2 linked regions of the Struthio camelus genome follow. The protein of the gene in region 1 purifies or fractionates together with the protein of each later gene. This does not show direct contact. Links are inferred from orthologs where the notes say so. Each region holds a gene or a part of one and is shown on either strand. Other genes may lie near its edges. The genes, in order: MCM7 and CDC6.

Region 1 (14,423 bases):
GGTCCCTTAAGGTTCCCCAAGGCGGGGACAGGTCCCTGCTTGTCCCCAAGGCCGGGGGGAGGGTTTCCAAGGGGGACTGGGACCCTCCTGTGTGTCCCCCCCTACCTTGAAGAGGGCGGAGAGCTGGGACCCCCCCTGGCACCGGGGGATGTCCCAGCGGATGGACTTGGTGCTGGGTTGCAGCTCGGCCGTCTGCTCGGGGCTGCTCAGCTCCTGGGCCAGGCTTAAAGGCGGGGAGGGATGGAGATGGGGGGGAAGGTGAGAGGTTTGGGGGGAGCAGAGAGGCCCCCCCCACCCCCCCAAAATCCTGCACCCAACCCCGCCGGCCCAGCAGCGTCACCCACCTGCTCACACCCTTGGGCACGGGCAGCTGGACGCGGACGTTGAGGGCTTGGCTGGAAGGGGAGAGCGGTGGGGGGTGGACATCCACCGGACACCCCGTCCACCCCATGGACATCCCCACCCTCCCCGTGGACACCCACTGGACACCCCGTCTGCCCCACGGACACTCCCACCCCCCCCCCATGGACACCTACCAGACACCCTGTCCACCGCATGGACACCCCACAGCTACCACCACCCTTGGACACCCACCAGACACCCCCAACCCTACAGACATCCATGGACACCCACCAGACACCCCCCCACCCCCACCCATGGACACCCACCAGACACCCCCCCACCCCCACCCATGGACACCCACTGGACACCCCCGCCCCTACAGACACCCATGGACACCCACCACACACCCCCCACCCACCCATGGACACCCACCGGACTCCCCCACCCCTATGGACACCATGGACACCCATGGGACACCCCTACCCCCATGGACACCCATCAGACACCCCCTCCCCACCACCCATGGACACCCCCACCCCTACAGACACCCATGGATACCCACCAGACCCCCATCTCACCCACGGACACCCACCAGGCACCCCCAACCCCATGGAAGCCCACTGGACACCCCCACCCCTACAGGCACCCATGGACACCCACTAGACCCCCCCCACCCATGGACACCCACCGGACACCCCCACCCCTACAGACTCCCATGGACACCCACCAGACCCCCCTCTCACCCACGGATACCCACCAGGCACCCCCAGCCCCATGGATGCCCACTGGACACCCCCCACCCCTACAGGCACCCATGGACACCCACTAGACCCCCCACCACCACCCATGGACACCCCTTGGACACCTCCACCCCTACAGACACCCATGGACACCCACCACACTCCCCCCTCTCACCCATGGACACCCACCAGCCACCCCCCAAGCCCCCCCTCCCCCCAAACCTTTTGGGTGGCAGGTCGCAGCGGAGCTTCAGGTACAGCCGCAACCTGCGGGGGACGCGGGGCCACGTCAGCACCGGGGTCACCCAAACCCCCCCCCACCCAAACCCCCCCCCCACCCTCACCTGCCCGCAGCGTCCCGGTCCACGGTTGGGAAGAGGCGGAAGGGCAAAGGCGCCGGGATGTCATCCGCCAGCTGGTACTGCATGAGCGTGAGCTGCCCCGGGTGGGGAGGGGGAAAGGGGGTCAGGATGGGTGCCCCCCCATCACCCTAGGGTGCCCCCCACCCATCCGAATCCTCACCTCACCCTGGCTCGGGGTCACCTTGAGCACCCGGCCGCTCTCGAACTCGTCCAGCTTGACGGCGCCGTGGAAGGCGCATTCATCCACGCGGACGGCCGTGCCGTAGCCTTGGTGGGGGGGGGAGGCGATTTTGGGGGCAAAAAAGGACGTTTAGGGTTTTTTTTTCCCCCTTGGGGGGGAGTTGGGGGGGGTGGGACGCACCTCGCACCTCCGACTTGCCCACGCAGAACTCCTCCGTCAGCCCGATGCGCATCTCTGCGGGGACGCGGCGGTGTCACCCACCGGGGTGGCGGGGGGACGGACACGGTGGTGGCGGGTTTTGGGGTGGGGGGGGACACCCAGCCCCGTACACCCAATGCCGCTGGGGACCCCCCCCCCCCCCCCCGCTCACCGCAGCAGCTGGGCACGTAGCACTTGAGGCGAATTTCCCCCTGGACGTCCACCTTCGTGGGTGTCCCCTGGGGACGCGGGGACGAGGGGTGAGCCGGGGTTGGGGGGGACGCGGGGCGTTTTGGGGACATGGGATTCCCCCCCCCCAGGCTGAGGTGTTGGGAGGGGGGACATGGGGGGACACGGGGTGCTTTGGGGACAGGGAACACCCCCAGGCCGAGCAAAGGTGCCTCGGGGGGAGACACGGGGTACGTGGGGCACTTTGGGGACAGGGGACACCCCCAGGCTGAGCTGAGGTGCCTCGAGGGGGGACACAGGGGGGACACGGGGCGCTTTGGGGACAGGGGACACCCCCAAGCCAAGCTGCCTGGGGGGGGACACGAGGGGGACGCGGGGCACTTTGGGGACAGGGGACACCCCCAAGCCAAGCTGCCTGGGGGGAGACATGAGGGGGGACGCGAAGTGCTTCGGAGACAGGGGACACCCCCAGGTCGAGGTGCCCGGAGGTGGGGGGACGAGTGGGAGGGAGGGGACACTGGGGGGGGACGACCGAGCGGTGGCCCCGTCCCCACTCACGTTGGCCGCGATGACCACCGTCAGCCTCTCCACCACGTCCACGAAAACCTCGTTCTTGGCGCCCTGTGGCCGCAGAGACAGTCGGCGGTGACACGGGGACACCCGTGGGGCGGGGGGAGGGGGGACACGGGGACACCCATCGGGTGGGGCGGCAGGGGGGGGGTCCTACCTGCTCCCCCCGAGGTGGCAGCACGGGGCGGCTGGCGGCCGAGCTGGGGGCCACCTTGCTCTGCTGCGTCTCGGCGCCGAACTGCAACGAGGAGGAGGAAGAGGAAGGGGGCGTTCGCCGGACGTGGGTGCGAGGGCACCCATGGGTGGGGTTGGGGGGGGGGGTTGGGTGCTCACCAGCCCGATGGAGCCCAGGTCCAGGAGGCTGAAGGGTTTGGTGGCCACGGGCTCCGTGTGCATGAAGTTGCGCAGCACCTCGGGCGCCGTGGTCTGGATGTAACCGTAGTCCTGGCGGGGGGGGGGGGACACACAGGGATGTCCCCGTGTCCCCCCCTCCCCCAGGGGTGTCCTCAGCCCCTTTGGGTTGTCCCCAGCACCCTAAAGATGCTCCTGAGTGGCCCCCCCCACAAAGGTGGCCCCCCAGCTCTCTCTCTAGGGTGTTCCCACTACCCCCCTCTAATGTCCCCGTCACCCCATGGGGGTGTCCCCACCACACTCAGGTGTCCCCATCACCCCCAGAGCTGTCCCCAGCCCCAGGAGAGTGTCGCTTGGCCTCCCCCATCATGTCCCCAGCTCCCTCTAGGGTGGCCCTGGTCCCCCCCCCCAAGCTGTCCTCAGCAGGGCCACCACTACCCCAGGGTGTTCCCACCTCCCTCTGTGGTGGCTTCAGTCCCCCAAACTGTCCCCAGCAGGGCCACCACCACCACCCCAGGGTGTCCTCACCTCCCTCTGAGGTGGCCCCAGTCTCCCAAACTGTCCCCAAACTGTCCCCATAGTGTCCTCATAGCACCCCCAGCAGGGTCACCACCACCCCAGGGTGTCCCCATCTCCCTCTGAGGTGGCCCCAGTCTCCCAAACTGTCCCCAAACTGTCCCCATAGCCCCCTCAGGGGGTCCACCACCACCCCAGGGGGTCCCCACCTCCCTCTGAGGTGGCCCCAGTCCCCCAAACTGTCCCCATAGCCCCCCCAGCAGGGTCACCACCACCCCAGGGTGTCACCACCTCCCTCTGAGGTGGCTCCAGTCCCCCAAACTGTCCCCAAACTGTCCCCATAGTGCCCCCAGCAGGGTCACCACCACCCCAAGATGTCCCCAGCTCCCCCCGGGGTGGCCCCTGTGTCCCTCCCAAGGCATCCCCAGGGACAACCCCACGCCCTAGGGGTGTCCCCGTCACCCCGTAGGGTGTCCCAAGGCGCCCACCCACCAGCATCTCGTCCAGGAGCTCGTAGACGAGGGCGAAGTTGAGGGCGACGTTCTTCTCGCTGAGGGTCCCGCAGCAGTCCCGCAGCAACGTCACCAACCTGCGCCGGCGGGCCGTCAACGGGTTCCCCCCACTCTGCCGCGTCCCCTCCTGTCCCCCGGTGTGTCCCCCCCACCCCCCGAAAACCCCCCCTCCCCATACCTATTGAGGAACTCCACCAAGGTGAAGGGCGACGCATCTGGCGCGGCGGTGGCCACCACGTAGAGCCCCGCGTGCCGCACGTGGACAAAGTGCCGGCCCTCGTGCACCTGCGGAGGTGGCGGGTGGGTGGTGGGGGGGGCGAAACGGAGCTGGGAAGGGTGCTGGGACCCCTCCCCCACCACCACCCCGTTTCAGCACCCTACCACCACCCTCACCATGAAGACGGGAGCTTGGTCGCCCGGCAAAGCCGTGATCTTCTTGTAGAAGGTGTCGGCGAGGTCCTGGCTGGTGGCACCGGCCTCGCCACGGACCGGTCTGCGGTTAAGGAGAAGCAGAAGAAGGTGGGGAGCAGGGGGGGCAAGGGGGACCCCTCCCCAACCTCTCACCCCATCCCACCCACCCAGCACCCACGCTGGAGCAGGATACAGTCCTTATGGATGAGGCGGTCGCCCTTGGAGGAGAGGATGAAGAGCTGGGAGAGCATCGCTGGCCTGGCGGGAGGCGGAGGGGGTGGCTCGAGTGGGACCCTCCCCCCCTTCCTTCACCCCGAGACCCCCCCCACTCACCCTCTGGCCACCTTTGGGTGCTACCAGGGCTCTGCACCTTCGAAAGAGCTCTGCGCCCTCCAGGTCCTGCTCCCCACCCCACCAGGACCCAGCACCCATCAAGTGCCCCTTCATCAAGACCCAGTACCCCCAGACACCCCCATCCACCCCCCCCACACCCAGCACCCCCCCAAGGCTCCAGCACCCCCAGAGCCCCCCATCCACCCCCCCAGCACCCCCCAAGTGCTCCCCCATCAGGACCCAGCACCCTCTGACCCCCCCCATCCCCCCCCATCCTCCAGCATCCCCCCCAAGGCCCCAGCACCCCCCAAGTGCTCCCCCATCAGGACCCAGCACCCCCAGACCACCCATCCATCCCCTCCAAGGCCCCAGCACCCCCCAAGTGCCCCCCATCCACCCCCCCAGCACCCAGCACCCCAAGGCCCTAGCACCCCCAGAGCCCCCATCCACCCCCCCAGCCCCCAGCACCCCCCCAAGGCCTCAGCACCCCCAGATCCCCCCATCCCCCCTCAGCACCCAGCACCCCCCCAAGGCTCCAGCACCCCCAGAGCCCCCCATCCCCCCTCAGCCCCCAGCACCCCCCCAAGGCCTCAGCACCCCCAGATCCCCCCATCCCCCCTCAGCACCCAGCACCCCTCCAAGGCTCCAGCACCCCCAGAGCCCCCCATCCCCCCTCAGCACCCAGCACCCCAAGGCCCTAGCACCCCCAGACCCCCCATCCAGCCCCCAGCACCCCCCCAAGGCCCCAGCACCCCCCAAGTGCCCCCCATCCACCCCCCCAGCACCCCTCCAAGGCCCCAGCACCCCCAGACCCCCCCATCCACCCTCCCCAGCACCCAGCACCCCCCGGCCCCGCCCCCCCGCAACCGCGGCCCCTTTAAGAGGGGGCGGGGCCAGGGCCCCCCGCGGGTCTCCCCGAACCTCGGTCCCGTCCGGCCGCGCGGGGGAAAGCGGGAGTCACGTGACGCGGCCCAAAGGAGGCGGAGCCCGCGCCGGGCCGCCTCGCCCCGCGATTGGGCGGGGCCGCGCGGGGCGGGGCGAAGGGGGCGAGGCCGGCCCCGGATTGGCCCGCGGGCGCCACGTGAGGCGCCTTTTCGCGCCACTTTTGGTTGCGGCGGCCGGAGCCGGAGTGGCGGCGCTCAGCGGCGTTGACCCCTGCAAGGTCCCGTACCGGGCCGCCGAACCGTGAACGCGACTGACCGGGCTTGACCCTTACGGCCACCCGTCACTGACCCTTGCCGCGACCCGTACCGACGCACAGAACCGGAGCCTCACTGATTGGGCCTCACCCCTACGGGCACCCGTACCGGAGACGCCGAACCGGAACCACACTGACCCCCACCGGTCCCCGTAGACCTCCCCGCCATGGCACCGCGCGATTACACCGCCGAGAAGGGTACGAAGACCCCCCCCCCCCGGAAGCCGGGACCGGCAGCGCGGGGCACTTCCGGGGTCGGGCGACCACCTGTGGCTTTGTTTACCGGGCCCGGGGGAGGGGGGGCGTGGGGACACCGGGACACCGGGCCTGACATGTCCCCTCCCTCCCGCAGATAAGGTGAAGCGCTTCCTGCAGGAGTTTTACCGCGATGGCGACTTGGGCAAGGAGTTCCCGTACCGGGACCAGCTGGTGAGAGATGGGGCAGCACCGGGCCGGGGTGGGGGGACCCTCGGGGGGGGGCTATTCCCGCCCCTGTCCCCCCACGGAGCCACCGGTGACAGCGCCGTGCCAGATTGGGGTCCCTTGTCCCCTTAGAAGAGCCATGGGTGCCACCATTGGGCTGGATGGGGGTCTGTCCTTGTCCCCATTGCGCTGGTAGCGTCACTGGGGGGACCCATGTGTGAGATCGGGGGTCCCTCGTCCCCCTAGAAGAGCCACGGGTGCCACCACTGGGCTGGATGGGGGTCTGTCCTTGTCCCCATTGCACTGGTAGCGTCACTGGGAGACCCATGTGTGAGATTGGGGGTCCCTCGTCCCCCTAGAAGAGCCACGGGTGCCACCTCTGGGCTGCATGGGGGTCTGTCCTTGTCCCCATTGTGCTGGTAGTGTCACTGGGAGACCCACGTGTGAGATCGGGGGTCCCTTGTCCCCCTAGAAGAGCCACGGGTGCCACCACTGGGCTGGATGGGGGTCTGTCCTTGTCCCCATTGTGCTGGTAGTGTCACTGGGGGGACCCACGTGTGAGATCGGGGGTCCCTCGTCCCCCTAGAAGAGCCATGGGTGCCACCTCTGGGCTGGATGGGGGTCCGTCCTTGTCCCCATTGCGCTGGTAGTGTCACTGGGAGACCCACGTGTGAGATTGGGGGTCCCTTGTCCCCCTAGAAGAGCCATGGGTGCCACCTCTGGGCTGGATGGGGGTCTGTCCTTGTCCCCATTGCGCTGGTAGTGTCACTGGGGGGACCCATGTGTGAGATTGGGGGTCCCTTGTCCCCCTAGAAGAGCCACGGGTGCCACCTCTGGGCTGGATGGGGGTCCGTCCTTGTCCCCATTGCGCTGGTAGTGTCACTGGGAGACCCACGTGTGAGATCGGGGTCCCTCGTCCCCCTAGAAGAGCCATGGGTGCCACCTCTGGGCTGGATGGGGGTCTGTCCTTGTCCCCATTGCGCTGGTAGTGTCACTGGGAGACCCACGTGTGAGATCGGGGTCCCTTGTCCCCCTAGAAGAGCCATGGGTGCCACCTCTGGGCTGGATGGGGGTCTGTCCTTGTCCCCATTGTGCTGGTAGTGTCACTGGGGGGACCAACGTGTGAGATCGGGGGTCCCTTGTCCCCCTAGAAGAGCCACGGGTGCCACCTCTGGGCTGGATGGGGGTCCGTCCTTGTCCCCATTGCGCTGGTAGTGTCACTGGGAGACCCACGTGTGAGATCGGGGTCCCTTGTCCCCCTAGAAGAGCCATGGGTGCCACCTCTGGGCTGGATGGGGGTCTGTCCTTGTCCCCATTGCGCTGGTAGTGTCACTGGGAGGACCCATGTGTGAGATCGGGGGTCCCTCGTCCCCCTAGAAGAGCCACGGGTGCCACCACTGGGCTGGATGGGGGTCTGTCCTTGTCCCCATTGTGCTGGTAGTGTCACTGGGGGGACCAACGTGTGAGATCGGGGGTCCCTTGTCCCCCTAGAAGAGCCACGGGTGCCACCTCTGGGCTGGATGGGGGTCCGTCCTTGTCCCCATTGCGCTGGTAGCGTCACTGGGAGACCCACGTGTGAGATTGGGGGTCCCTTGTCCCCCTAGAAGAGCCATGGGTGCCACCTCTGGGCTGGATGGGGGTCCGTCCTTGTCCCCATTGCGCTGGTAGTGTCACTGGGAGACCCACGTGTGAGATTGGGGGTCCCTCATCCCCCTAGAAGAGCCACGGGTGCCACCTCTGGGCTGGATGGGGGTCTGTCCTTGTCCCCATTGCACTGGTAGTGTCACTGGGGGGACCCATGTGTGAGATCGGGGGTCCCTCGTCCCCCTAGAAGAGCCACGGGTGCCACCTCTGGGCTGGATGGGGGTCTGTCCTTGTCCCCATTGCGCTGGTAGTGTCACTGGGAGACCCACGTGTGAGATTGGGGGTCCCTCGTCCCCCTAGAAGAGCCACGGGTGCCACCTCTGGGCTGGATGGGGGTCTGTCCTTGTCCCCATTGCGCTGGTAGTGTCACTGGGAGGACCCACGTGTGAGATCGGGGGTCCCTCGTCCCCCTAGAAGAGCCACGGGTGCCACCTCTGGGCTGGATGGGGGGTCCTTGTCCCCCTCCCAGGCTGAATCAGGCTCTCTCCTGTCACCCGCTGGAGCTGCGGGTGATGCCCCCGTGCCAGCCGGGGGTCCTTCCTCGCTCCCCCAACCCCTCCCACCCTGTCCCCCGCAGGCCGCGCTGGCGCACCGGGACCAGGTGGCCCTCTACGTGGCCCTGGACGACGTGGCCGAGGACGACCCCGAGCTGGCGGACGCCGTGTGCGAGAACGCCAAGCGCTACAGCCGCCTCTTCGCCGACGCCGTGCACGAGCTGCTGCCCCAGTACAAGGAGCGCGAGGTGCCCGAGAGCCGAGGCGGGGAGGTGTGGGGACACCCCGCTGTCCCCTCCTGACACCTTCCCTGTCCCCGTTCTACCCCTAGGTGTCCCGCAAGGACGTGCTGGACGTCTACATCGAGCACCGGCTGCTGCTGGAGCAGCGAGGCCGCGACACCGGTGAGACCCGCAGCCCCCAGAACCAGTATCCCCCGGAGCTGCTGCGACGCTTGTGAGTGCTGAGAGGGGGACCAGGCTGCCACCCCGGTGTCCCCGCCAACCCCATCCCTGTCCCCGAGCGTCCTCGCGAAGCCCCATCCCTTCTTTGCCTTGTTTTTGTCTTGCTTTTTTCTCTAATTCTTATACCTGTTTCCTTTTTAATTCCATCTCCACTTTTCTTTCTTCTCCATCGCTTCTAATTCCCGATTCCTATCTCCTCTGATTCCTCCACCTTAAACCCCCATCCTGTCACCTACGTTCCCCCCTAACCCATGTCCCCATCCCTGTCTTCTTGGTGTCCCCCCTCCTGACCCCCGTCCCTCCCGCCCCAGCGAGCTCTACTTCAAAGCCCCGTCGACAGCCAAAGCCCGCGTGGTCCGCGACGTCAAAGCCGACTGCATCGGCAAGCTGGTGACCGTCCGCGGCATCGTCACCCGCGTCACTGAGGTCAAACCCATGATGATCGTGGCCACTTACAGCTGCGACCAGTGCGGAGCCGAGACCTACCAGCCCGTAAGCTCGGCAGGGACGGGTGGCTCCCGCCAGCCCCAGGGGGAAGCGGGAAGGGGCATCAGCTGAGCTCTGCCGCTCTCCGTAGATCCAGTCGCCTACTTTCATGCCTCTCATCATGTGTCCGAGCCGGGAGTGCCAGACGAACCGCTCCGGCGGCCGCCTCTACCTCCAGAGTCGCGGCTCCAAATTCATCAAGTTCCAGGAGCTGAAGATGCAGGAACACGTGAGGAACACGAAGCGACGGGACGCCACGGCGCGTGGCTCCGGGGCTTTCGGGTGGTGGTGGGTGGGGAAGAGATCCCTTCAACCAGGATCGCAGAGCTGGGAGGGAATTTTGGGGTTTTCCTCAATGACCGCGGTTTGGGCTTTGGTATCCAGCTGAGGACAGAAGGTCCCTTCTTGTCTGGGCCTCGTCCCCGTTCCTCTTTGAGGACGACCCGAGCCTCGTCGAGGAGGCGATGGCATCAACGCAACCCCCTTTCCCTGCCGCCTCTTGGCATTTCTTTTCCTACCCAGTGTTCCAGCCCCGCAGCTGGTTGCTCCTGCACTGGGGAGCCCCAAACTGGTCCCAGTCTCCAGCTGAGCTTTCCCCCAGCGCAGGATAGAGGGGGATAACCCTTCCCCTGGCGCTGTCACTCAGCGCAGAGCTGGTGGCATCGCGAGTGGCCCCTGCAGGCTTCAAGGCGCCAGGACACCTGGGTCATATTTTTTCCCCTCAGTTCGTACTGGTGCAGGGGGTGATTTTTGGTTCGGGGGTGACGGCAGCAAGCTCCAGCTGCGGCTCCCGGCACCCGCATCTGCGGAACGGCCGGTTCCCGGGCCGTGGGGAGGGGACACGACGGCGGAGCTGGGGACCCACCGCGCTCACCCACCGCGCTCACCCACCGCGCTCACCCACCGCCCTCCGCAGACCGACCAGGTGCCGGTGGGGCACCTACCCCGCTCCATCAGCGTGGCTGTGCACGGCGAGAACACCCGCTTGGCCCAGCCCGGTGACCACGTCAGCGTCACCGGCGTTTTCCTGCCCCTGCTGAAGACCGGCTTCCGCCAGGTCACCCAGGTAAGCGCTGCCGCGACGGGCTGGGGTGGGGGGCTGCGGTGGCCCTGCCCCGAGCCCGCCGTCACCCTCCTGTCCCCCAGGGGCTGCTCTCAGAGACCTACCTGGAGGCCCACCGCATCGTGAAGATGAACAAGAGCGAGGAGGACGAGTCAGGGGCTGGGGAGCTGACCGAGGAGGAGCTCCGACAAATCACAGGTGAGATTTTGGGCGCTGCTGAGCCGTTGGCACCCCGAGATGCACGCGAACTAGGTTTAAAAAACGCCCAGAGCTGTCCTGCAACAGGGCAGCCGGCCGCCCTCAATGCCCTCCCTCGCTCCTTTTGCAGAAGAAGACTTCTACGACAAGCTGGCCTCCTCCATCGCCCCCGAGATCTACGGCCACGAGGATGTGAAGAAGGCGCTGCTGCTGCTGCTGGTGGGCGGCGTGGACCGCAGCCCCCACGGGATGAAGATCCGAGGTGAAGCCGTGCTGCTGCGCGCCGGCAGGGCGTTTGGGTGGGGAAGACGCGGCTCCGAGGGCCTCTTCCCTCTGGCGCGGGAAGGTTTCGGGGTCCGGGATGAGCCTGAGGGGATGAGAAAGGGACTCGCTAGCTGCGACCGAAGGATTCGGGGTGGAGGGATGAAACGGCTCCGTCCCTGATGGCAGAGAGGGACAGTGTCTGCCCTGAGGACTCACCGTTTCCCTTCCCCCCCCACCCAGGAAACATCAACATTTGCCTCATGGGGGATCCCGGCGTGGCCAAATCGCAGCTCCTGTCCTACATCGACCGCCTGGCACCCCGCAGTGAGTACGGGAGGGCTAGGAAGGGCTGGGACCCCCCCCTTACCGAGCCTCCCCGGGGCCTCTCGCCGCTGTCCCCCATGCGAGGACCCAGCTCTGGTCCCCTCTGTGCTCCTCCAGGCCAGTACACGACGGGCCGGGGTTCGTCGGGCGTGGGGCTGACGGCGGCGGTGCTGCGCGACCCGCTGACGGGCGAGCTGGCGCTGGAGGGCGGCGCGCTGGTGTTGGCCGACCAGGGCGTCTGCTGCATCGACGAGTTCGACAAGATGCTCGAAGCCGATCGCACGGCCATCCACGAGGTGATGGAGCAGCAGAGCATCTCCATCGCCAAAGCGGGCGTGCTGGCCACCCTCAACGCCCGCTGCGCCATCCTGGCTGCCGCCAACCCGGCCTACGGTCGCTACAACCCCAAGCGCAGCCTGGAGCACAACATCCAGCTACCCGCTGCCCTCCTGTCCCGCTTCGATCTGCTCTGGCTCATCCAGGACCGCCCCGACCGCGATAACGACCTGCGGTGAGTCGGGACGGGGAACTGGGGTTGGATAGGGGACCGTGGGAGCTGTGGGACCGGACGCAAGGCCGTGGGAGAATGCGTTTGGGGGAACGGTGAAGCTTGCGTGGGAGCCATGGGGCTGGGTTGGGGGCTGTAGGGTGCGTGCGGGAGCCGTGGGGCGACTCCGGCACCTGCCCCCAACTTTTTTCCGCCCCGCAGCCTGGCCCAACACATCACCTACGTGCACCAGCACAGCCGCCAGCCGCCTTGCTCCTTCCAGCAGCTTGACATGAAGCTCATGAGGTGAGAGCTGCCCACCCACGGACGCTGGGAGGCGATGTGAGGTCCCCTCCGCGGGCCTGACCCTGCCCCTCTCACCCCTCAGGCGCTACATCGCCATGTGCAAGCGGAAGCAGCCCGCCGTGCCCGAAGCTTTGGCTGACTACATCACGGCCGCCTACGTGGAGATGCGCAAGGAGGCCTGGGCCAACAAGGACACCACCTACACGTCCGCCCGCACCTTGCTGGGCATCCTCCGCCTGGCCACGGCCCTGGTGAGCCCCCGTGGCGGGTGCGGGAAGGCAGGGCCGGGCGAGATGGGGTTAAAACAAGGACCTAGAAGGACCTGCGTGGCCTAAGCGAGGCAAGAGGGGACCAGGCGAGGTGAGACAGGGCCGGGCAAGGCAGGACGAGGCTCGGCGAGGTGAGACGGAGCGCGATGGGACAAGGTGAGGTGATACCAGACCAGCAAAGTCCGACCGGCCAGGGTAAAACGAGGCAAAAACAGGCAGGATGAGCCCAGGCAAGGTGGGGAGACCGAGCCGGGCCAGCCCTCGTGGTCCCACGGAGCTGCAGCGGCCGTCGGGTCACCGTGCCGCGTCCGTGTCCCTGTCCCCGACGAGTCCCGGGGGCCCCAAAGTGCTGTTTGTGCAGGTAGTGTGTGTGCGGCATCTACTGCCGAGGCAGCACTCCAGAGCCCCCGGGGCACGGCCAGCACCGGCACGGCTCCCAGCGTCCCTTCCGGGGATGTGGCCAGCACCAGGGCCGGCTCCTGCCGTCCCTCAGCGTCCCCTGCGCCATCCTGGAACGTGGCGCCGGTTTGGGGACTGAAGTGGTTTGGGGAGCACCTCGGGGCTGCGATGGGGAGCCCTGGCAGGCTCTGTGGCTGTGCTGGGTGATTTTTGGGGTGCCCCAGGGCTGTGGGGGGGCTGCTTTGGGGACCCTGGTGGCTGCTGACCCCCTACCCGCCCCTCTTCACCCTGTTTATTGCAGGCCCGGCTGCGGTTGGTGGACACGGTGGAGAAGGAGGACGTGAACGAGGCCATACGGCTCATGGAGATGTCCAAGGACTCGCTGCTGGGGGACAAGGGACAGCACAGCCGGTGAGCAGGAGGGGGGCCACGGGGAGGGGGAGGTGGCGTGACCCTGGCCCCATGTCCCCCAGGAGGCCGTGGGGTGGCCAGGGAGGCGGTGGCAGCACTGGGACAACCGTAACCCCGTCCTCTGGGTGGCCATGGGGTGATCAGGGAGGTGGTGGCCATCCTGGGACAGCCCTGACCCCGTCCCCTAAGTGGCCAGGGAGGTGGTGGCTGTCCTGGGGCAGCCCTATACCTGTCCCCTTGACCCCTGGGCGGCTGTAGGATGGCCAAGGAGGTAGTGGCAGCGCTAGGGCAGCCCTGACCCCATCCCCACGTCCCCTAAGTGGCCAGGGAGGTGGTGGCTGTCCCGGGGCAGCCCTATGCCTGTCCCCTTGACCCCTGGGTGGCTGTAGGACGGCTAAGAGGAGGGCGGCAGCCCAGACCCTCTCCCCAGGGTGGCTGGAGGGAAGCCGGGACAACCCTGACCGCATCCCTGGGGCGGCCGGGGTGACAGCAGCTACCCTGACCCTTGTCACCTGTCCCCAGGATGCAGCGGCCAGCTGACGCCATCTTTGCGGCGGTGCGGGAGCTGGCGGGGGGCCAGGGCCGGGCGGTGCGCTACGCCGAGGCCCTGCAGCGTTGCCTGGCCAAGGGCTTCACGCCGGCGCAGGTGCAGGCGGCGCTCGACGAGTACGAGGAGCTCAACGTGCTGCAGGTGAACCCGGCCCGCACTCGCATCACCTTCGTGTGACGCGGGGACAACCTAATGCCCTCCCCTCCAAGTCCTCCTGCCACCCGACAGCAGCCCCCTGCGGCACCTTCGTTTGCCACCGGGACGCGTCCTGGCGTTACCTGACATGGGGACATTCCCCCCCCCCACCATCACCCTCGTCTGACACAAGAACGTGTTCTCCGTCACCTTTGGGTGACGCAGGGTCATGCGGCGATGTCCCCTTGGGGGGGATGGGACAGGCTCTGGCTTTGTGGCACTTCCGTCACCTTTGCCCTGTCATCTTCTGGTACTGTTACAATTTCTCTCCTGTTTCTTATTAATAAAAACCTGCTTCTTACTGATTTTGGAGCCAGGGTCGTGGCTCCCTTGCTGCCACCATCTGCCTGTCACCGCTTTCGGGGACCCGTTCCCTTGGGGACAGCCCTGCCACCGCAGGGAGGGTCACGGGATGGACAAAGTGACACCACCGGAGCCCTTAATTCCTGCCCCGGAACCGCGTTTTATTAGGGAGGGGACGCGTGGGGACTGTCCCCTTGCGCCTTCCCCCCCCACCCCCAGCTCCAGGGAGGAGGGACACAG
Region 2 (14,079 bases), on another chromosome or scaffold:
TTTCTTGTCTCCAGGCAAACACAGAGCCGCCAAAATTGAGCCGAGAGGAGCAGCGGGGGCGTGGGGCCCTGCTGCAGGACATTTGTAAAGGGACCAAGCTAAAGAAAGTCACACAAATCAATGACCGGAGTGCACCAATCCTGGAGAGTGAGTACCTGCCTGGCACGTCCCTGGGATGCTCTCAGCTTCTCTGAGCCCTGTGCTGGGTGCTGCCGTGGCCTTCAGGATGACTTCCTGGCTTCACTCATGTCATTTCCAGCGCCTCCTACTTGGAGGAGGCTGATAACACTGGACCTAACCTCTCTGCTTCTCTCTTTCCAGAGCCCAAGAGTAGTGGAGGCAGCAGCTATGGTTCTGGCTCAGCTGTGATCCAGCCAAAAGGAGGCCTCTTCCAAGGTGGTGTCCCCAAGCTCAGACCTGTAGGAGCAAAGGACAGCTCAGGTAATGGCCACGTGACCGTGCTTTGCCCTGGGAAGATCCCTGAGCAGAGAAGGGTCGAGGATCTTGCTGGGTTTGCCTGGAGGTTTCAGCTAGCTAAAGAGAGGGACCCCAAATCAACCTCCCACATGTTGCCACGGGCAAGCTGTGTTCTCTGTGCTGTACTGTCCCCATAGGAATAATCTCTTTGGAGGGCCTGGGAGTCATATGTGTTGTTGAACACTTCTGTCTATTTTTTGTGGCAACCTGCCTTCCAGCAAGCCAGAGAGCGAATAGCAGTGGTGAGAGAGGAGCTGTGTGTGGTTGAGAGCGGTGCCAGCTCCCTGCCTGTGCCAGACAGTGTTCCCCGAGGTCTGGCCCTTGTCGGTAGAGTGGGCAGGTTGCCACGTGCTGCGCGCAGGCTCTGGGATGAAGCATTGTCTGTTGCTCTCGCTGATTCTCAGCCTGTGCTGGGTCTGGCGAGTCACTCTGCTTTCCTTCCACCGCAGACAGCTCCAGTAAGCAAACCCTGCAAGTCCCCGGCTCCAGAGCAGCTGCCCCCAGGCCCCCGGTGCCCACCAGCAACAGCCGACCTCAAGATGATTCTGACAACAGTCGGGCCTCTCCCCCAGAGCTGCCGCGCATGCAGAGGCCCTCCCTGCCGGACCTCTCCCGGCCCAACAGCGCCGGCAGCACCGGCATGAAACACAGCTCATCCGCCCCGCCGCCTCCCCCGCCGGGCCGCCGCGCCGCCGCACCTCCCGCCCCCCCTCCTGCGCATGGCACCAAGGTGTCTTCCTACAACCGGGAGAAGCCCCTGCCACCAACCCCGGGACAGCGACTGCCTGTGAGCAGGGATGGACCCCCCGCCCCGCCACCCATCAAGCCCCCTCCTTCCCCCGTCAGCATCCGAACGGGATCGGGGGCTCAGAGCCAGTCTCTCGCGCCGCCGCCGCCTCCCTATCGGCAGCCCCCGGGTGTCCCCAACGGCCCTTCTAGCCCCATCAATGAGTCTGCCCCAGAGCTGCCGCAGAGACACAACTCGTTGCATAGGAAGACGCCGGGCCCGTTGCGAGGTCTCGCGCCGCCACCGCCTGCTTCAGCCTCCCCATCTCTCCAGAGTAGTCGCCCCCCTCCGCCGGCCAGAGACCCCCCCAGCAGAGGAGCAGGTAAGAACCTTTTGCTCTTTTAGTCCCAACTCCTTTGCGCCTGAGACTGAGAGCAGCCGTTGTGGGTCAGACTGGGGTCGCCTGCCCGTGGGGGTGGTCTGATGGCTGGCAGGAGATGCCTGGGGAAGAGTCAAAGCCGGGACACAGCGAGGTTTCTCCTGCACACGGCAGTCAGTGCAGTGGTTGCCTGAGCCAGAGGCAGTGTCTTGGACTGTCATGTTCAATAGATGTCCCTGGTCATGTCCTCTATTTATCCAGTTCCTTTTGTGCCTGTTGTTGGCGACGGGTTGTAGCTTGGCAGTTCTTGCACTTGAGGTTGGTGTGTCCTCCTGGGGGCTGGAGCCTCCCCCTGAGGTGGGAGGAGAGAGTACAACGGAGCCGGGCCTGTGCTGCGGTTTCTCTTCCTATGTCACCGAGGCAGTGACAGAAAGCTGCGGCAGAGCAGGGAGAAACGTTTCACCTGGCTACGCAGCAGGGAGAGCGTCCTGCAGAACCCAGAAAGTGTTCTGCCCTCTTTGTGGGCATCACGGCTGGTTTCAGCGCTAGGTGGTTTGAAGGACAGCTGGCGATAAAGGCTCTGTCACCTCTGATGCAGGTGCTGGGATTTTGGTGTCAGGCACCCTGACGGAGCCAGGCCATTGCATCAGGCCCCCTCTAAAGGAAGGCGGCACGTTCCCGTGGCCGATGCTGCTTGGGAAAATGTCTGAGCTCCCAGAGGCTGGCTGTCTCCCTGTCCCGTTGCTACCTGGGTGACTCAGTGGAGACCACTTGCTGTTCTCCCCGTGCACGGAGCTGGGTGGGAGTGTGTCGCGCTGCTGGGCATGGTGATGGCTTTGCCCCAGTGCCCCCGGTCTCCTGCGCGCTCCTGGGCTCTGCGTCCAGACCGCAGCTCCTGCCTGGTCCCCTGCCAAGCTGCTCTGTCCTTCCGGCCCTGCCGGAATCCCTCCATTGAGTTACAGCTGGGGATCTGCTGTGTTAGTCTGTGTAATTAGCCTAATTAGGAGCATGAACTGCCCCTGTGCATTGGTGGGAGGCTGGGCAGGAGTGAAAGGTGGGTCAGAGGGGCTGTGGGTCCTGTTAGTGCTTTGGGAGCCTACACCTTGTTCGCAGTGTTGCCTCCCTGCCGCGGCAGATGATGTCTTGCCTCCATGCAGGGCCGCCCGCTCTCAAACCCTCGTGTGTGCGTGCTTATAACAGCGCTTGGCTCCTCTGCGGTGCAGAGAGTGACCTGGGTCTGAAGCCGCGAGTCTGCCCTGCCTTGCCAGGGGATGGAGCTGTGCGCGGCTGCGATGGGCTGACAGCAGAGCCGCAGCGTGTGCCCGTGCCGCGGCTCGCCAGCTGGCCTGCTCCGGGCACAGGGCAGCGGCACGCGGTGGGGCTCCGCTGCGGGATTGCCTAGGCGCCCTGCGCAGTGGGGATGCTTTCTGGTAACAACGCGGGTTTAGACACAGGCTGCCCGGCAGCAGGGCACAGGGCTCGTGCCTGTCCTCCGAGACAGCGCGTGGCTGGCCGAGGGGGTGCTGGCAGACGTGGTCCCCTCCCCCGGGAGGTGAGGCCGCGGGCTGGGGGTGCACGAGGGCCGGGGCAGCCCGCTCAGGGTGGGCTGGCCCGCACGGCCTTGTGCCCTCGCAGCACTTCACCTGGTCCCCGTTTGCAGTGAGCCGGGAGGTGGCTGCGGGGCCAGCTGGCCTCCGGGGCTGGCCGCGCTCTGGGCAGGCGCCTGGCAGGTCCCCGCCGGAGCTGATGGGGAGGGAGGAATGCAGATGTCGGGAACGCGCAGGAAATCTCTGCTGGACGTGAGCTAGAAACATCCCTGGGCCGCAGTGCTGGCTGCTGGCGCTCTCCAGCTCAGCAGCTGGCCTGGAAAGCTACCTTGGAGGGTGTCCTTGGCCCCGCTGCCGAGGGGAGGGTTTGCCCTAGGGATGCCTCGTCTTGGCAGGCCGCCGCTGTCCTCACCCTTGCCCTCTGCGGGCTGCGTCGGTGCTGACACGGGTTTCCTTGCAGCCCCGCCGCCCCCACCGCCGATGCTGCGTAACGGTGGGCGAGACGCCCCACCGCCCCCGCCCCCTTACAGACTGCACGGGTCCGCCGAGCCCCCGAGCCGAGGGAAGCCGCCGCCGCCGCCCACGAGGACGCCGGCGGGGCCGCCCCCGCCACCCCCGCCAGTAAGGAATGGCCACCGGGACTCCATCGCCACCGTCAGAGCTTTCCTGGGTGAGTGAGGCCCCGCTGCGCTGCTGTTGGGCTGTGGATAGTGTTGTTGTAGGCCCCGCACAAACGCAAGCAGAGTGCTGCTCCCTGGCAGTCGGCAAACCTCGGGTGAGCCTGCGCCTGGCAGCAGAACCAGCTCCCCAGGGGTCTGTGCCAGCCCTGGGGGAAGGGACTGAGCTGGGAGTGCCCATGTTTATCCTCAGGCCATACGTGAGGGGAGAGAAGAAATCCTTTGTGTGGACATGCCGCCCCTTGTTGCCTCCTCAGCTGCTAACGTGAGAGAGGCAGAGACCTCTTGTCCAGCAGAGGAAGCTGGGGGTTGTAGAGCTGAGAGGGGAGGGACAGGACAGGATGCTCCTTGGGCTGCTTTATCCTGGCTTGGTGCTAGGCTTGGATCCAGAGGCACAAAGGTCCAGGCGCTACATGCTCATCGGTGACTGCTGTTCTCACCCGGGGCAGAAAATTGGAAACAGGAGGAACCGCAGGAGCTCCTGGGGGCCAGGCGCTGGCGTGCATGGCTGAGCCCTTCTGGCAAGGTCGACTTCAGTTGTGCTCGTTCAGAGCCACCCTCCCTGACCCACTTTTCCTCCTTCTCTGCAGATGACTTTGAATCCAAATATTCCTTTCACCCTGTCGAAGACTTTCCAGCCCCAGAAGAGTATAAATACTTCCAGAGGATCTACCCCAGCAAAACAAACAGAGGTAAGGGAAGAGCTAGTCTGCTGTCCTGCGTGGCCTGACTCCCCTCGAGGGTGCTGCTGGTGACAGGAGCTGACAGCGATGGAGCCGTGGCCACCCACCATCCCCTCTGTCAAGCCAGCCAGGGTAGAGCGTGCAGGGAGGCTGTGCTGGTGCTGCTGCTGAGCCGCCCTGGGTCGTGGCTTCAGGGGCTCTCCTGATCCTTGGCTTTCTCCGCGCAACAGCGCGGCCCTGGGGCCTGCACGTGCTTCTCAGGGCACTGAGCCCTCGAGGCAGCATGCTTCACCCTGGGCGGCCCCAGGGATTTGGGCTGGGAGAATGTCCTGTCCTACCTGCACTCTGCTGAGCCTGTGTGCAGAAATGCTTTAGGGCTTTTTCCTGGCCTTTGGTGCTGGAGCAGTTATAAAAGGACTCCAGAAGCTGGCCCTGCAGCTGAAATGCTGGTATTAGGCAGGCAGTGGAAGGGTAAAGAGCTGCTGTGCAAGCATTGGAACAGGTCAAACCGAGAGGCCCTGGGCAGAAGTGCTTGGATCTGACACTTCTGGGAGCCGGTTCCTCTCCCAGCGCAGCACAAAGTGCCCTTGCTGTTCTGCTGCTGCGAGTCAGCCCTGCAGATCCAGGAGGAGAGACTCAAGGGAGAACGGGATGCTCGTTTATTTTTAGAATGATAAATGTTTAATGTGGATTTGAAAAGCCCTGAGCTTTCCATGCATGCTGCAACGGCTGGTTCTCGAGTCGCAAATCCCAGGCTTCGGGCCTCGGCGGGGAATACGAGCAGGGGGGGCAGCAGCGTGGGCTGACGCGAGGGTGTGGAGGAGGGTAAGCAAACGTGCCAGGTGCCGCTCTGTTAACCCCCGAGGCAGCGATCCTCCGAACTGGCCCTGGCAGCCAGCGAGGAGGCTGGGGAGAAGCCGACACGTGTTAGCAGTGCCAGGCTTGCTGCCCCAGCAGCTGTGCGGGCAGTCTCCGCGCGGGTTCTGATTTCAGTGGGCCTTCTTGTCTTGCAGCTACCCGTGGGGCCCCCCCTCTGCCTCCCATCCCCAGGTGAAAGTGAGCTGTGCAGGGAGGTTGTTCCTGAGCAAAGATACGGACCTACTTCCCCTTCCTCAGATGGATCCTCCCCACCTCCCTGCCCTCTAGGAACCTGCATGAGAAACTCCCAGCGTCTTTGGTTTTCCCAGCTGTGCAAGGAAGAGCAGATAACTCCAGCTCAGCTGTCTCTGCCAGCCCACCTTCATCTATGCATCTCACCCTGGACTTGGTGACCTTGCTGGCAAGCCCGGATGGGCCCTTTCCTCCGCGCTCTCGTCGCAGATCCTGGATTGTGTCGGGACGGCGCTTCCAGCTGTGGTCTGGGCATCCAGGCATGAGAACTTGGGGCAGACGCCGAACCGCGCCGAGACCAGTTGATGGTGTTGGGACCAGAACCGGCTCAGTGCCCCTTTTTCCTCTGGGCTAAGGCAGGCTGAGGGTGTTGTGTGGGCTTGGAAAGGAGCTGGGGTAGGTCACATTTGCAGAGGGGTACAGGAAAAGGGGCGTCTCTGAGGGCGCTCCATCTGGGACACTCATGGGCAGAAATGCTGCGTATTAATCCATTAAGCTAACAGCGAAACGAGGAGGAGCAAGCAGAATGTTTTGTTACCCAAACACAGCAAATTGCTTTTTTGCACAGGAGCCAGTGAAGGAGCACGTGACGATCAGGACCATCCAGTCAGAGCCTGATGGTGCTGGGCTGCGCAGCCTGAGCCGCAGGGAGGCCAGAGGCTGCTCTGGGCAGGGACTGATCCGCAGCCGTAAGCAGGGACTGGGAGCAGGGGGCCGTGAGGCAGCTCGGCGGGGAACCCGCAGCCTTCCCTGCTGCTCTGCCTCTGCGCTCCCGCGCAGGGGACGTTTCCCCGCGGCTGCGCGACTCCCTTCGCCGTGCCCTGTCCTCGCACGGGAGCAGTCCAGCGGTGTTTCACCCCCTCGCGTGACGCAGCCAACCGGCGGGATGCCAACCCCTGCCGGCGTGTTTTAACCCAGTGGCAGCGGTGGAGGAGGGAGCCGTCCCTGCCGGGAGCCCCGCGCGCATCCCGCGCTTGGCTGGGCACCGCTGACCGCCGGGAGAGCCCTGCTTTTAACGCTGAATTACCAAACAGAGAATTTTAACAGGAAGATGCTACTCGTCGTCCGTGGAAGAAGCAGAGAGATGCGGGGTTTTTTGTTGCTGTTTTTTGTTGGTTTTCTCTTTAATGTGAGAGTGGAGAGCATTGGGGGAGTGGGAAGGGGCCTGCGCCAGGTGGCCTGGCCCAGCCGCTCCAGCGCCGGGTTCGTGCTCCTGGCGGCAGCGCCGGGGACCCTCGTCTCTAGCTGACGTTTTGCCTTATTTACACTACTTCTGTCAGACTGTTGGTACCAGGCTGGTTTCTCTGTGTATTTACTCGCAGTACCGGGGTGGGCTTTACATTAATCATAGTTACTGATCTATTTTGTACGTTGTAAAAAGCTTGTAATATAGGAGGAAGGTGGGCTCGTGGCAGGTGTACTAAACCCCTCACCTTTAACTGCTATTTTTTTTTTTTCTATGACGATGGAAACTTACCCTTTTCACGGGGGCCCTAGGCAGCACTCACGTTGAGGGACGTTGCCTGGCCCAGGGAAACCTTGGGGTTCGGTTTGGTTCGTTTTCCCCCGGAGGACGGGCCAGCCCAGCACTGCAGCTGGGGCAGGAGTTCATGCACTGTGCTGTTTTGTTTAAATAAAGGAGGAAAAAAAAAAAAAAAAAGGTTCTCTCTGTACCGTTGGCTCCTACCCCCTGTGTGGCGGCAAAGGGGGCTCTTTTAAGAGGGAACGGAATAAAAAACACAATAAGCTTGAAATTGCATTCAAATAAAAGTGGTAAAGCGGCCCATCTGCTCAAGGGTGAGGTCTGGCCCTCTGCTTGGCTTGGGGGGGTCGTTAGGGTGGGGGGGGTGCTGGCCAGGTGCTGCAGCCCGGGGCTGTGCCTCAGTTTCCCCTGGGTGAGCCCCAGTGAGAGGCAGGGCTGGGGGCCCTGGGAGCGGGACGGGGGGTACTGGGGGGCACTGGGAGCGGGACGGGGGGGTACTGGGGGGCTCTGGGGAAGAGGCAGGCCGGGGGGGGGCAGTGGGGGGGGCGTGGCCATGGTTTCCCGCCTCCACTTGGCTGCACTACACCTCCCAGCGTGCCTCGCGCGCCTCGGACTACCACTCCCGGCACACCCCGCGCGCGTGGCCTCCGATTGGCTCCTCGCGGCGACCCCCCCTCCCCCTCCTCGCGGCGCTTGGCGCGGAGCTCCGCGATTGGCGGCGGCGGCGGGCGGCGGAGCCAATAGGGAAGCGGGGGCGGGGCCGGGCCGGCTTGGTGGCGGGAAGTGCGGAGCTGCGGCGGAGTTGGCGCGAGAAGGTGGGTGGCGGTGGGGCCTGGGGGGCCGGGGGGCAGGGACGTGGGGCAGGGTGGGGGGAATGGGGGCAGGGACGTGGGGCTGTGGGGCAGGAGCTGGGGGGAATGGGGGCAGGGACGTGGGGCAGTGGGGCAGAGCTGGGGGGAATGGGGGCAGGGACGTGGGGCTGTGGGGCAGGGATGGGGGGGAATGGGGGCAGGGACGTGGGGCTGTGGGGCAGGGATGGGGGGAATGGGGGCAGGGACGTGGGGCTGTGGGGCAGGGATGGGGGGGAATGGGGGCAGGGACGTGGGGCTGTGGAGCAGGCTGGGGGGAATGGGTGTAGGGACGTGGGGCTGTGGGGCAGGAGCTGGAGAGAAGGGGGGCAGGGACGTGGGGCTGTGGGGCAGGAGCTGGGTGGTATTGGGAGCAGAGACGTGGGGCTATGGGGCAGGAGCTGGAGAGAAGGGGGGCAGGGACGTGGGGCTGTGGGGCAGGAGCTGGGTGGTGTTGGGAGCAGAGATGTGGGGCTATGGGGCAGGAGCTGGAGAGAAGGGGGGCAGGGACGTGGGGCTGTGGGGCAGGAGCTGGGTGGTGTTGGGAGCAGAGACGTGGGGCTATGGGGCAGGAGCTGGAGAGAAGGGGTGTAGGGACGTGGGGCTGTGGGGCAGGAGCTGGGGGGAATGGGGGCAGGGACGTGGGGCTATGGGGCAGGAGCTGGAACAGGTGGGGCAAGGCTGGGGGAGCAGAGGGATGGGAGCAGAGATGTGGGGCTGTGGGGCAGGACAGAGCTGGGGGGGGTGAGGAGCAGACGTGTGCCACCATGGGGGGCGGAGAGGTGGGGATGTGGGGTGGGAGGAGGTGGGGGCTGGGGCAGAGAGGTGGGGGTTCGGGTGGGGGTCAGCAGGGCAGAGCCGTGGGGCACTCCCCCGCCTGACCCACGCCGTTGCCCCGCAGCCGCAGCCATGCCCAGCACCAGGTCGCGGAGCCAGGCCGCCATCGACTTCCCCCGCCGGAAGAGCGCCCGGACCCCGGCCCGGCTCCCGGCCAAGAACCGCGACGCCCCGGCCAGCCCCGGCCCCGGCTCCGGCCCCGGCAGCGCCGCCGACCCCTGCGCCCTGCGCCTGGCGCCCTGGCCGAAGGACCCGGCCCCCGGCGCGGCCGAGCCCGGCCGGGCTGCTCTCGGCGCGCTCTCGCCGCGGACCAAGGCTTCGCCCCTGAGCCCCCGGAAACGCCTGGGTGAGCTGCCAGCGCCTCCTTCCCCGGGGGGAGCTTCGGGGCTGGGGGTCCCGGCCCTACGCCGGGCCTCTTTACCCCTCCCGTTGCCCTCGCGCAGCTGGAGTGTCGGTGAAATTTGTGATTTCTTGTTTTTCTTTTCTCCCCGTCTCCGGGGAGGAAGCTCTGCGGCAGGACCCCGGGCTGCTCCGCCGCGTGCAGCCCGCTCGGGAGTCGCGAGGAGCGAAGCCTCCCTGCGTTGCCCCGCTGCACAACGCCCTTGGCTCTGGTGCGACCCCGCCGCAAGGGAGTTTGGGGCCGTCTAATGGTGGCAGCTGCTGGCGTGGGCGGACAGAGCGGCTCCGAGCTTCGCCCTGCGGAGCAGGATGCGGTGCCGGACCATCCCGGGGGGCCGCGTCCTCGCTCCCTTCCGCAAAGCCCCGTTCCCCCAGCGCAGGCTTTTCCGGGCGTGGGGGATTGCGCAGGCCGGGGCTGAGCCCGCGTCCCCGCAGGGCTCTTCTCCACGGCAGGCGGATTTCACGAAACATATGCAGATATTTAGCTTGAACCCCTTCATGTTGCCGTTTCCCGTTTGTTTCTGAATTCCTCCGGGGTGCCCCCTCCCCGGTGGCCCCCAAAGCAGGCCCGCGGCCCCCGCTGTAGCTGGCCCTTCTCCGAGGACGTCGGTGCTTTCCCTGCCGCGCCGTCGTCCCCGCTGACCGCGGCGCGTCTCCCCGCAGGCGACGACAACTTGTGCAACATCCCGCACACGCTGCCCTGCTCGCCCACCAAGCAGAGCAGGAAGGAGAACAAGGGGCGCCGCTTGCTTTTCGGGGAGCCGTCGGCCCCCGGCTCCCCGGAGAAGGGGAGCGACCCGGGCCTCTCCCCGCGGCGCCAGGGCCAGGAGACCCCCCGGAGCTCGGAGCTCGGCCGGGAGCCCGTCTGCACCCGGCTCTTCAGGCAGGAAGGTGAGTGCTGGCGCGCCGAGGGGGACGGGATCCCCCCGGAGCGCGGGAGCCATCTCCCATACCTCCCTTTCCCCGGCGCAGGCTCTTGCTACCAGCAGGCGAAGCGCGTGCTGCACACCGCCGTCCCGGAGTGCCTCCACGCCAGGGAGAAGGAGATGAGCGTCATCAAGCGATTTCTGAAAGAGCATGTCTGCGGGGGGAGACCCGGCAGCCTTTACATCTCGGGAGCCCCTGGAACGGGGAAAACGGCCTGTCTGAGCAGGGTCCTGCAAGACTACAAGGTTTGTCACGGTTTTGGGGGGCTCTTTCCTCCAGGGGCCGAGGTCTTTGCTACAGCTGAAGCTGGAACAAGCTCACCTTTTATGAGGCTGGTGTTTTTCCCTGCGTTTAGCGGTCATGGTCTTGCTGCCTGGGGAGTATTTCAGGGCAGTCTGGTGCTAGGGTGGAAAGTTTCTGGTAGGTTTGGAGTAGCTTGTACAAGTGGTTTGGAACAAGCAGGAGGAGATCTTGCTTTTCTGCGCATTTGCAATAGCTTTTTCCACTCACTGTAGCTCAGCTGCTTTGGTTTGGAAGCAGAGCGCCTTGGGTCAGTTAACAGCCATTTCTGTACACAGCGTTATCCCTGCACGCGCAGCAATTGCTGGGTTCCTGCTGCAGAGCCTGTTTCAGTGTCGGGTCCGGAGCAGGCTGCCCGGCCGTGTGCATGGCGGGGCGAGACGGGTGCAGCCTAGGGGGGCTGGCAGAGCAGGGGAGAGCCGGGAGGGAGCTGCGCGAGGAGCAAGAGCCGAGCGGGGGAGAGCTCGGACTCGCTGCAGCGTCTCCCTGGGGAAGGGGGGCGGCTGGACGCAGACGTCCCCACGTGAAGCAGGCTTGCGGAGCCGCGTGTCCTGGCCACGGCTCTGCTCCGCTGTCTGGCTCTGCCGCCAGAGCTCTGCCGTGCCCAGCGGAGCCGCCAGTGCTGCAACTCTCCCATGTCTCTGTCTGGCAGGGCGAACTCACGAGGAGCAAAACCGTCATCCTGAACTGCATGTCCCTCAGCAGCTCGCAGGCCGTCTTCCCAGCCATCGCGGAGCAGCTGGGCCTGCAGGCAACGGCCAGGGTGGCCGGGCGGGAGATCGTGAGGAAGCTGGAGAAGCAGCTGACAGCAAAGGGGCCCATGGTGTGAGTTGCCCGCGCTGGGCGCCGCTTGTGGGCTGCTCTTGCTGCGCTGGAGCTGCCTCTCGCATCTGGGAGCTCGGGGTGGCCCTCGCCTTGGCCTGCTGGGACACATGTCCCCTGTGCGGGGTTTCTCCTGAGAGCTTTGATTTCTCTGAACGTGCGAAGCAGGTCGCAGAGGTAGTGGGAAAAGCCGGCCCTTATCCTGCTCCTGCGGTCCCGGCTGCGCCGTGGCGGATTTGCCACCCGCCGATGCTCGGGCTGCCTCGCGCACCCCTCCGGGGCTGACCTGAGCTTTCCTCTCCGCTGCGCAGCTTGCTGGTGCTGGATGAGATGGACCAGCTGGACAGCAAAGGGCAGGACGTGCTGTACACCGTGTTCGAGTGGCCCTGGCTGGCCGGCTCCAGGCTCGTCCTCATCGGTGAGTGTCAGCCGCGTGGCGACGTTTGCCCCATCCGACGCCCGGAGCTCCCTGCACGCGTCCGCGAGGGTGGCACAACTCGGCGGCGGAGCAGCGCTCGGTGCTTTAGACGCAGCCTTTGCGCAGCTCTGTCGTCCCCGGCCGCACGCTCCCCTCCTTGGGAAGAGCCCGCGTAGCTCCAGCCCGGGCAGGTGCCGGCCTCCCTCGCCGCCGCTCTCAGCGAGCTCGCTGTGCTTCGCAGGGATGGCCAATGCCCTGGACCTCACGGACCGCAGCCTGGCCCGGCTCCAGGCCCGGCCGACCTGCCGCCCCCAGCTGCTCACCTTCCCGCCTTACACCAGGGACCAGCTCGCCTCCATCCTGCACGAGCGCCTGAAGCAGGTGAAAACCGAGGCAACGGGGCCGCTTCTCCGGGCAAAGCTGGCAGGGGCTGCGGCGATCCGGCCGAGCCGCGCGCGTGGCGCTGACGCTGCCATTAACCGCGCGAAACGGGCTTCCGCTGCCGGGTTACTCCCGCCACGGGCTGGGCGGCCCGTTGAGCCGGCGCCTCGGGCGGAAGGGGGCCTGCGCCCTTCCCAGTCCTGCCGGTCGCTCTGCCGGCACCTCGGGGAGACGGGGCGAGGAAGCGGCGAGGTCCCGGCTGCGATGCCGCGAGCGGCGCTCTGATGCCCCAGCCCACGTGGCAGGAGGACTTGCCGGCTGCCCTGGGCCGGCCGCAGGGGTTATTTGCCGTCCCGGCAGCGCTGGGTCGTGGGAGGCCTCTCGCGTAATCGCGCTGCGTTTCCTCCGCAGGTGGCTGGTGACCCGGTCCTGGACAGCTCTGCCGTCCAGTTCTGTGCCCGCAAAGTCTCCGCGGTCTCTGGAGACGCCCGCAAGGCCCTGGATGTCTGCAGGTAAACGCCACCGCGCGGCCCTGCCTCCTCCAAAACCAGGCCGCTTCCCAGCGGCGCCGGCGAACGTGACTGCAGGCTCCGTTGCCGCTCGGCGCCCGAGCAGCGGGAGCGCTGCCGCCTGGCCCCGCTAATGGGAGAGCTCTTTGCAGTCCATTACCTATGGAGGGCGAGGCGAAGGCGCTGCCGGCCCTCCCCGCTGTGACTATAGATTGGTTAATTACATCTGTATTGCAGAAAGCCCCATTAGCAGCTCCCAAGCCGGTTTCTTGATGAAGCTGAACCAGTTTTTTGCCTTCAGAATTAGCTCTTCCCCTCCCCGGTCCGTCGGTTCGCGGGCAGCAGGGGTTCCCCGGCCCCTCTGCCGCCAGCCCGGCGCTGCTCGCTGCCGGGGATGCCGTGCCGAGGGCAGCCGCGCTGGAGCGGCCAGGTCGGAGCTTCCCGCTGCCGCGGGAGCGCTGCCAGGCCGCGCCGGCGTGGGCCGCGGGCCAGCTGGGCGCAGCGAGCGCCGGGCTTTGACCACGGGGTTTGGCCCGGGCTTCGGGCTGGGAGGAGCCGGGAGGCGAACAGAGATGTCTGGAGGCCGCCGGCCGAGGAAGCGGTCCAGACCCTGAGCCCGTCTCCTCTTACGGCTGCTCTTGGACATGGAGGCCGGCTTCTGGGCTGCTCCTCTCCCAGCCCCGAGCCCCCTCGGTCCCTGCAGCACCTGGAGCGTTCAGTCTCGTTAGGGCAGCGCTTAAGGAGGCGGAAATGAGTTGCTCTTAATGTGCTCTGCGCCGCTGCCTGCGTCCCCCCGCATCTCGCTGCGGCGCCCTCGGGGGCTGCTGTCCCCGCGCCTGCCGGAGGGGACCGGATCGGCCCCACGGACGGTGTCCCGTCCTGCAGGACCCATGGGGGACGTCGCCGTGAGCTGGAGCCAGGAGGGGGAGGATGGCCGTGGCCAGAGGCCGCTGGGCGGGGGACGGGTCGGGATGCTGGTGCACGCGGAGCCGAGCGAAGGCCAGGAGGGGTTTGGGGATTTCAGCTCCTGGCTGCTTTGGCCGACGTGACCTACGGGCACTGTCTCCTAGGCGAGCCGTCGAGATGGTGGAGCGGGACGTGAGGAGCCAGACCGTCCTCAAGCCGCTGCCTGGCTGTGAGTAGCTGCCGCCCGAGCCGCAGCGCTCGGCGCTTCTCCTCCCTCTCTCTTCGACAGCGGCTGCAGCCTTCCTTGCCGGGGCCAGTCGGGGTGTTCCCGGCTCCCCGGGGCCCGGCACGCGGTGCGTTTCCCGTCCGGCGCTCGGGAGCGCGACGGGGGGTCGCCCCACTTGGGGCCGGCCTCAAACAGAGCTGTTTGCCGAACTGGAGGTGCAAAGCCACCGCGTGCAAGGGGCAGCGGTTCAGCCCGGCATCCTGCCCCGGGGAGCCTTCTCTGGCCCCAGCTGCCGACCGGGGCAGCGTCGGTCCCCGTCCCTCCGCCCACGAGCCGTCACCGGCCTTGTGCCCCCGGCGCAGGGCTGAGAGAGGCCGACGCTGTCGCTGCGGGGATGGAGACCCCTCCAGCGTAACGTGTCTT

What was found.
Region 2: the proteins of MCM7 (region 1) and CDC6 purify together in Homo sapiens (affinity purification with western blotting; 3 studies listed by BioGRID). This does not show direct contact. The link is inferred for Struthio camelus from reciprocal best matches to the Homo sapiens genes MCM7 and CDC6.

What each region holds. Positions count from the first base shown.
Region 1 is NC_090978.1:591,705-606,127, forward strand, and holds MCM7 (DNA replication licensing factor MCM7), read left to right. Parts: upstream 1-5,730; 5' UTR 5,731-6,070; coding exon 6,071-6,101; intron 6,102-6,255; coding exon 6,256-6,332; intron 6,333-8,547; coding exon 8,548-8,712; intron 8,713-8,795; coding exon 8,796-8,920; intron 8,921-9,239; coding exon 9,240-9,420; intron 9,421-9,505; coding exon 9,506-9,643; intron 9,644-10,330; coding exon 10,331-10,480; intron 10,481-10,560; coding exon 10,561-10,675; intron 10,676-10,805; coding exon 10,806-10,937; intron 10,938-11,179; coding exon 11,180-11,263; intron 11,264-11,380; coding exon 11,381-11,774; intron 11,775-11,972; coding exon 11,973-12,056; intron 12,057-12,138; coding exon 12,139-12,307; intron 12,308-13,025; coding exon 13,026-13,135; intron 13,136-13,657; coding exon 13,658-13,862; 3' UTR 13,863-14,185; downstream 14,186-14,423. Other genes in the region: AP4M1 (AP-4 complex subunit mu-1), read right to left, coding at 106-223, 345-395, 1,305-1,349, 1,427-1,518, 1,605-1,711, 1,806-1,859, 1,996-2,062, 2,571-2,633 and 6 more. UniProt on the Homo sapiens protein: Acts as a component of the MCM2-7 complex (MCM complex) which is the replicative helicase essential for 'once per cell cycle' DNA replication initiation and elongation in eukaryotic cells.
Region 2 is NC_090966.1:6,883,818-6,897,896, forward strand, and holds the start of CDC6 (cell division control protein 6 homolog), read left to right. Parts: upstream 1-7,817; 5' UTR 7,818-7,898; intron 7,899-8,832; 5' UTR 8,833-8,840; coding exon 8,841-9,114; intron 9,115-9,830; coding exon 9,831-10,058; intron 10,059-10,139; coding exon 10,140-10,339; intron 10,340-11,046; coding exon 11,047-11,219; intron 11,220-11,527; coding exon 11,528-11,634; intron 11,635-11,875; coding exon 11,876-12,015; intron 12,016-12,426; coding exon 12,427-12,527; intron 12,528-13,594; coding exon 13,595-13,659; intron 13,660-14,079. Other genes in the region: WIPF2 (WAS/WASL-interacting protein family member 2), read left to right, coding at 15-147, 322-441, 927-1,586, 3,591-3,800, 4,398-4,499, 5,504-5,544. UniProt on the Homo sapiens protein: Involved in the initiation of DNA replication. Also participates in checkpoint controls that ensure DNA replication is completed before mitosis is initiated.